Alligator mississippiensis: one gene and its partner. The protein of the gene in region 1 interacts with the protein of each later gene in a pairwise test. Links are inferred from orthologs where the notes say so. Each region holds a gene or a part of one and is shown on either strand. Other genes may lie near its edges.

Region 1 (3,898 bases):
TCCGTCTGATGCTGCAGCTGGATCTTCCACTTAAAAGTGCTGTTCAACCTGTCCAAAAGGAGAGTGACCTGGGTCTGATGCAACAGCTGGATGTTGCATTTTAATAAAGTGCTGCTCAGCCTGTCCAAAAGGAGAGTGATCTAGGTCTGACACTGCCACTGGATGTTGCACTTAAAATGCTGTTCAACCTGTCCAAAAGGAGAGTGGCCTAGGTCTGATGCTGCAGCTGGATGTTGGAGTTTAATAAATTGAGTGACCTGGGTCTGATGCTACAGCTGGATGTTGCATTTTAATAAAGCGGTGCTCAGCCTGTCCAGAGGGAAAGTGGCCTAGGTCTGTCTGATGCTACAGCTGGATGTTGCATTTTAATAAAGCAGTGCTCAGCCTATCCAGAGGGAAAGTGGCCTAGGTCTGTCTGATGCTACAGCTGGATGTTGCATTTTAATAAAGCGGTGCTCAGCCTGTCCAGAGGGAAAGTGGCCTAGGTCTGTCTGATGCTACAGCTGGATGTTGCACTTTAATGAATTGCTGTTCAACCTGTTCAAAAGAGGAGAGTGACCTAGGTCTGATGCTGCAGCTGGACACTGCACTGTAATGGGGAGGTGTTCAGCCTGTCCAGGAGAGTGGCCCAGTCTGATGCTGCAGCTGGATGTTGGAGTTTAATAAATGGAGTGACCTGGGTCTGATGCAACAGCTGGATGTTGCATTTTAATAAAGTGCTGCTCAGCCTGTCCAAAGGGAGCGTGGCCTAGGTCTGTGTGATGCTACAGCTGGATAAAGTGCTGTTCAACCTTTCCAAAAGGAGCGTGGCCTAGGTCTGATGCTGCAGCTGGATGTTGCATTTTAATAAAGTGGTGCTCGCCCGTCCAGAAGGAGCGTGGCCTAGGTCTGTGTGACGCTACAGCTGGATGTTGCACTTGAAGGAAGTGCTGTTCAACCTGTTCAAAAGGGGAGAGCGGCCTAGGTCTGCTGCTGTAGCTGGACAGTGCCCTGCAATGGGGAGGTGTGCAGCGTGCCCAGAAGGGGAGAGTGGCCCGGTCTGATGCTGCAGCTGGATGTTGCACTTTAATAAAGTGTCCAGAAGGAGAGAGTGGCCCAGGTCTGCCGGATGCTGCAGCTGGATGTCGCCCTTCAATGACCCGGCGCCGCTCGCAGCAGCAGCAGAGACCCCCTCGCCCCCCCGCGCGCGCGGGGCAGCCGCCCCTTCCCCGCTGCCCCAGGGCCCAGGTGAGCGCGGGGGGCGGCGCTGTGTCCGGGCCCGCGCGGCGGCGGCGCCCCCTGGCGGCGCGGGGCGGGGCGGGCGGGCGGCGGCGGTCACGTGGGGCGCTCGGGGCCTGCTGCCGCCCAGTCAGAGCGGAGCGAGCCGAGGCAGAGACGAAGGAACAAGATGGCGGCCGGCGGCGATCCGGAGCGGGGCGCCGGCGATTCGGATTGAGCCCGTGCGGCCCGCGCCGCCCGGCGGCCGCCGCTCTCCCCGGCCCGCAGCCCTCGCGGGGGTGGGGGCCACTGCCCCGCGCCCGCCCGCCGGGGCGCCCGCCGCCCCGCCCCGCCCTTGCCTCGCCTTCCCTTCCCCCCTCGGCCAGCGCCCAGCGATGCGGGGCCGGCGCGGCAGGCCGCCCAAGCAGCAGCAGGCTCAGGCGAGCTCCCCGGCTCCGGCCGGCCCCATCGGCGGGCTGCGCTCGCGGCAGCGCGGCAGCAGCCGGGGCCGGTGGGCGGCCGCGGCCCAGGCGGAGGCGGCGGCGGCGGCGCCCAGGCCGAGGGGGGCGGCCCAGGCCTCTCCGTGCCCCCGCGGGGGCAGCAAGAGGAAGGCGGGCGGCGGCGCAGGCGGCGGCGGCCCCCCGAGCCGGGGCAGGGGCAGGGCGGCGGCGCAGGCGGCGGCGGGAGGAGGAGGAGGAGGCGGCGGCGGAGGAGGCCGGGCTGCCTCGTCCCGCAGGAGCGCCAGCAAAGTGGTGTACGATGACCACGAGAGCGAGGAGGAGGAGGAGGAGAGCGCGGGGTCCGAGGAGGACGAGGAGGAGGGCGACCCCGAGGAGCACCCGGGGTCCGAGGACGACGGCGACGAGGAGGAGATCATGGAGGAGGACGAGGACGAGGACGACGACGACTCCGACTACCCTGAGGAGATGGAGGACGAGGACGATGCCAGCTACTGCACCGAGAGCAGCTTCAGGAGCCACAGCACCTACAGCAGCACCCCAGGTAGCGGGGACGGGGACGAGGGAGGGTCCCGCTCCTCGCCGCCCGCCGGGGGGGGGGAGACATGCAAATCGCGGGGGCTGGAGGCAGGGCACAGGTGCGGGCGGAGCATCCTCTCCCGGCTCCGGCCCCTTCGCTCCCCTCCATCCCCTGCCCAAGTATTGTCCAAGATGGAGGTTGCCTCGCCGCACTTTGGGGAGGGGGCCCCTGCGCGAAACTCGCCCCCTAACTTCCCCAGGTGAGGCCGCCGCAAAGCCGGGACCAGGCTTGTAAAAGCGCGGCGTGTTTGTGGGAGCCTCTTCCACTACTTGGACATGACAATGCTTTCATTAAAAAAATTAGGGTTTTTTTTTTTTTATAACCCTCAGAGCTTTTTTTGGGTGCTTGGAGTTGCTACTGCTTTCATTTAAAACATGAGGGTTTTGTTTTGTTTTTTTACCCCTGCTGCGGACCTCGATAAGACCCTCGCGTGCTTGAAACTTGAACTCTCGCTCGATTGGGTTTTGTCAGTTGAGGGGGTTTCGGTTCGCAGCTCTAGCTCGCAGCACTTGGGTTCAGCGCCGATCCAGCTGTGCGTTTTAGTGAGCCGGTTGGGACACGGGCAGCAGAAACGGGTACGGTAGCATTCGACCAATTTGCCAGCGAGGTGTAGTGGGGAGATTGGCCGCTTCTGTGAATGTATGACACCGTATACGCTTTGTGGAGCGTTTGGGGAAGGAGGCACAGGTTACTAAAACGCACTGTTTGTTTTAATTCCTGGTGGGTTTAGTGGGTGCAGGCAACAGATGCCATCACGTGGCTTCACTAAACTTATAAAAAAAAAAAACACCACCAATCAATTTTTATTTTTAATTCTGTGTAGTTTTGTACGAATTATGGTTTTGCTTTTTGGTGTGTTTTTTTTTTATTGTGAATTGGGTAAAAAATGTGATCACAAAGGGTTTATAGTCTGTTGCAGGAAGCATTGTAGTTCACCTGTTGCAGGAATAGTACTGTGATCAGTTTGATTTCCTTCCCGTAGTTCTTGCTTTAAAGAGGAACTGGCGTCAAGTTAGATGCCACTACCGCTGTAAGCTGCTCTTTTCTTTAGTTATGGTAGGTAATAGGGAGAAACCAATCTCTTCTCTTTGGTCTAGGGAAGTATTTTTGCCCTGACTTCACTGGCTAGGGTTAGGGGAAAAAACCGCATGGACCTAAGAAAATATGAAGTTTAGGGATTGGGATGGGGAGAAGTGCTTGAGTTAGGTGGGTTAGGTGTTTTGACAAAGGACAAGTATTTATTCAAGTTACGTTGGTGGCATTTAAGTGCCTATGTTAAATTAGTATGTTTGATAAAAACTCCTATAAATATGTTTTTATTTAATCATGTTAAAATTTCAGTTACCATGTTAACCTTTAGTAATCTGAAATTTTTACAGCCTGAGCAGCCCTTTATAACAGAGTGGCCAAGCAGTGGCAAGAACTTCTGTCTGTCTTGTAACTTGTCTGCTATTAGTTCAGCTGCATGCTGGAAGGCTTTTTGTTAAGTTACTTTAACAGTTGTTTCTTTCTTTTTTCTTTAAAAAAAAAAAAATTAAAAAAAAAATCGTTACCTTCAGAAAAGAGGCAAGTGAAGAAAATGTCTTTTGCAAATGACACTACAAATTTTCAGCTTGGTTAGCTACAAGTGTGTCCAGTTCCTGCTAAACAGATACCTACCTGT
Region 2 (3,898 bases), on another chromosome or scaffold:
GGCGCAGAGCGAGCAGATGTAGGGGCCCTTGCTCTTCGACTTCTTCTGCGCCTCGGCGGATGGGGCCGGGGCGGGGGCTGGCACGGGCGGCGCCTGGGCGATGGCCGCCGCGGATGCGGCTGAGGGGGGGGCCTGGCTGGGGGCGGTGGCAGGCGGGGCGGGCGGCTCCGGGGCGGGTGGGGCTGGGGGCGGGGCCTTGAGGGCGGCGGTGTCGACGGTGGAGGCGGCGGTGGGGGCCGGGGCGGGGGTCTGGGCTGCGGCGGCGGCAGCGGCGGCAGCTACGGCAGCAGCGGCGGCGGCTGACTCCTGGGCGGCCGCCAGCACCGGCAGCAGGTCAACCTGCAGCCCCTCAGGTGGCCCCGAGGGTGGGGGCGGGGGTGGCGCTGCGGCCGCCGCCTGTGGGGGAGGGGACACGGTCAGGCCCCGCCCCTTGCTGGAGGCCCCGCCCCCTGTGTTCTGGGGGGTCACCCCATGACAGAGGGGGGCATCTCATCTCAGGGACCCCCTTGGCACGCGGCTGCTCCCGCCACGCGGGCTGGCGGCCTTGGGGCACGTGGGGCCGCGCGGGCGGGGGCAATGTGCAGCCTGGCTTGGGCCTGGCCGGCAGGGGCTCCCCGCTTCCAGGGGCTCGAGGGCCCAGCCCGCAGGGGCGGCCCGGCGGCGGCAGGGCGCCAGGCGGGGGCGGGGGCGGCCCCTGTCGGCCGCGCACAAGAGCTGCCAGACCCTGCGGGCCCGGGAGGGAGGCCAGGGCGGCCCCGAGCCGGCGGGGGGCAGGAGGCCCCGGGGCCGGGCCGGGCCGGGCCGGGCGCAGGACGTACCTGGAAGGGGCTCTGCGCGCAGCCGGGCGCGGCGAAGAAGCGGGACTGCAGGTCGGCGCCCACGGGCAGCGGGTTCTGCGCGTGGCTCTGCGGGCGGCACGGGAGACACGACACGACACGACACGCGGGGCGTTAACCCTGGTCCCTACCGAGGGCGCGGGGGGCGGTGACGCGGCGGTGACGCGGGGGGCGGGGCGGCGCGGCGCGCGGCCGGGGGGGGCGCGGGGCTCCCGGCGGGGGGGGCGGGGCGGCCCCCCCGGGGCGCGGCGGGCGGGGGGGGCCGGGCCGCGCCGTTACCTGGAAGATGAAGCTGCTCCAGTTGCCGGGGTCCATGTCGGTGGGGGGGGGGCCCGGCCGGGCCCGCGGGCGGCGGGCGGGGCGGGGAGCGCGCGGCGCGGGCGGGGGGAGGCGGAGGGAGCGCGCGGAGCGGGCGGGCGGGAGCAGGCGGGTGGCGGCGCGAGGGCGGTCGCGGCGCCGGCGCTGATTGGCTGGCACGGCACCGCGCCCGGGGGGAGAGAGGCCGCCGGGTGGTGCGGCGCCCTCATTGGCCGGCACCTCCCCCCCACGTGGGCCGCGCACTCATTGGCCGCCGGCCCCGCCCGCTCCTAACGGTCGCGGCCCCCCCACCCTCCCTCACAAAATGGCCGCCGAGGCGCTCCGGCCCACTGCCGCCCCGGCCGCCAGGGCTGGGCGCTACCACCCGCCCGGCCCCACCCGCGGGACTTGGTACAGGCCGGGCCCGCCTTGCAGGGGCGGTGGCTGTGCGCGGCAAGGGCGGCGCTGCGATGCGCCGAGCCACGAAAATGGCGCCGGGCCTCCTTCCCCCCCCCTCCCGCGCCCAGGGGCGGGCCCGCGCCTGCGCACTAGTCGGGCCGCCGCAACGCATGGTGGGAAGAGCGGCGAGACGCCGGCTGTGGAGAGGAGTCGCATAGGAACGTTCTCGCCCTGGCGCGGGCCCACCTGCTCCCTGCGGGCTCCCGCGGGCCCCTCAGCCCGACCGCCCGCGCCCGACCGCCCGCAGGCGTCCGGCTGCCAGGGTCGCTCCTCGTCGTCCCTGGCCGCGCTACGCTCAACCCCAGCGGCCGCAGCCTAGCTCTCGCCCAGCCGCCCGCGCTGCCTCGCGCCTCTTTGTATTTGGCGCGTGGCCCGCCCGCCGGCCAATCAGGGGCGCCGGCCAGGGGGCGCGTGCGCGGCGGGGGACCCCGCCAGGACCCGAGAGTCGACTGCGCATGCGTGTTGGCAGGGTCTGAAAGGGGAGCAGGAAACGTTATCTGGATGCAGCGCCTGCGTGCTAGCGCGCAATTCTCGCCCCTCCCTCCTTTCCCCCAAAGGAGGGGGTGGGGGGGGGTGTGCTTACTTCCATTCCGCATGCGCTGTGAGCTTACGCGCCCGTTATCGAGCCTTGGCTACGGTCACTTTCTGCGCATGCGCTCCGGCCTGCCTCCGCAAGCTTCCCGGCGCACTGAGAGGCGCATGCGCAGTGTAGAAAGCGGGCCTCCTATGGACCTGGCTGTGTGCGCATGAGCGCTGCGCCCTGGGGATCCCGCCTGTTGCTATGGCGACGCGCCTCGGGCCTGTCCCCTGAAGGGGGAGCCTCACTGAGTATTCACGGAGGGCGGGATAATGAGATGCAGATGTATTCCTCGCGCGGGGCGGGGGGGGGGGAGGTCGTGAATGTGTCAAGCGCCTCGCTGGGGGTGTCGTTTGAATATATGGAAATGAGGCCCCGCGAGGTCACAAGGCACTAACTCCTTTCCGGGCGAGCCCCGGTCGCCTCATGCAAATGTATGCAGATGAGGGGCCCGCCCGGACCCCCGATGAGCCAGGTACCGCGGTGCAGACGTGCGGAGGCGGCTGCCCCGGGAGATGCAGGACTCCGCCGGCGGCCCGGCCCGTGCCCAGGCCCGGCGCTAGGGGCGGAGGCTGGGCCTGGCGGGTAATGAGATGCAAATGTATTCATCGCCCGGGCGGGCCGACACCACCTCGGCGGGACGCGGGCCCGGGGGTGCTGCAGCATGGTAATGAGATGCAAATGTATGCCAGGCAGCCCGGGGGTCGCCCAATGAGGCGCAGGCTGCAGCCCAGTATTCAAATGAGAGGCGGAGAGGGCGGGGGGGCGGCTGGCGGCCAATCGCAGCCCGGCAGGGCCCACCAGCCTGAGGTCCGCGCTCATGAATATTCATGTGGTGTCCGCGCAGCCAGGGGGCGGGGGCAGTTTGGGGCCGGGGGTCGCGGGGTCAGGGGTCAGGGCTGGTGTGTGTGGGGGTGGGGCGCTGGAGGGGCTGGTGCGGGGGTGCGGCTCGGCCGGGATGCCCGGGGCTGGGTGGCGATCCCGGGCTGGGCTGGGGCAGCGCGGGGAGGGTGAGCTCCACCCGGCCGAGGGCACTGCGAGTCTCGGAGGGGCTGGGCGCCGGGGCGGGCTCGGACCAGCAGTGAGGGCCGGGCCGGGCCGGGCGGCGGCCTGAGGGTGACGCGCTGCCCCGCAGATGCTGCTGCTGCTGCTGGCGGGGGGGGCGCTGTTCCCGGGCCTCTTCGTGCTGCTGCGCTGGGGCCTGGCGCGCGCCCCGCCGCTGCGCCTGCCCCCGCTGCACGCCACCTACCTCGCCGCCAAGTAAGCGCACGCCAGGCCCGGGGCGCGGGGCGGGGGGCGGGGGGCGGCCAGGGCTCCTCAGCCCGGCCGGGCATTTCGGCAGCCCGGGCACCTGGGTCCGCGGCGGGACGGGGGTAGGACCCTGGGCAGCCACGGGGCGGCGCCCCCCGAGGTGACTCCAGGGTGACTCGGGCTGGGGGGGCACCGTGTGGCGGGGATTAGCCGTGAGCGGATTCCCACGCTGCCCTGGGGCGGCGGGGGGGCACCCCTGACCTTGACCTCCCCGGGGCATTGTGGGACACCCCAGATACCCCCTGCCCCAGTGGTGCTGCTCGCTCCCGCCCCCCACCGCCACCCCGAGCGGTGCCCCGCACTCCCGACCCGCAGCCCCCCCGCGACGCCCTTGCCCCGCCCCCTGCGTGACGCCGCAGCCCCGCCCATGCCCGCGGCCCGCTCGCTCGGTGGCGCCGGGTGCGAGCGGCCGCAGCCC

Evidence for each region.
Region 2: the proteins of BPTF (region 1) and MAZ interact in a two-hybrid assay, tested with the Homo sapiens proteins (2 studies listed by BioGRID). The link is inferred for Alligator mississippiensis from reciprocal best matches to the Homo sapiens genes BPTF and MAZ.

What each region holds. Positions count from the first base shown.
Region 1 is NC_081831.1:6,198,161-6,202,058, forward strand, and holds the start of BPTF (nucleosome-remodeling factor subunit BPTF), read left to right. Parts: upstream 1-1,379; 5' UTR 1,380-1,592; coding exon 1,593-2,199; intron 2,200-3,898. UniProt on the Homo sapiens protein: Regulatory subunit of the ATP-dependent NURF-1 and NURF-5 ISWI chromatin remodeling complexes, which form ordered nucleosome arrays on chromatin and facilitate access to DNA during DNA-templated processes such as DNA replication, transcription, and repair.
Region 2 is NC_081830.1:247,722-251,619, reverse strand, and holds the start of MAZ (myc-associated zinc finger protein), read right to left. Parts: upstream 2,451-3,898; 5' UTR 1,152-2,450; coding exon 1,116-1,151; intron 906-1,115; coding exon 819-905; intron 397-818; coding exon 1-396. UniProt on the Homo sapiens protein: Transcriptional regulator, potentially with dual roles in transcription initiation and termination.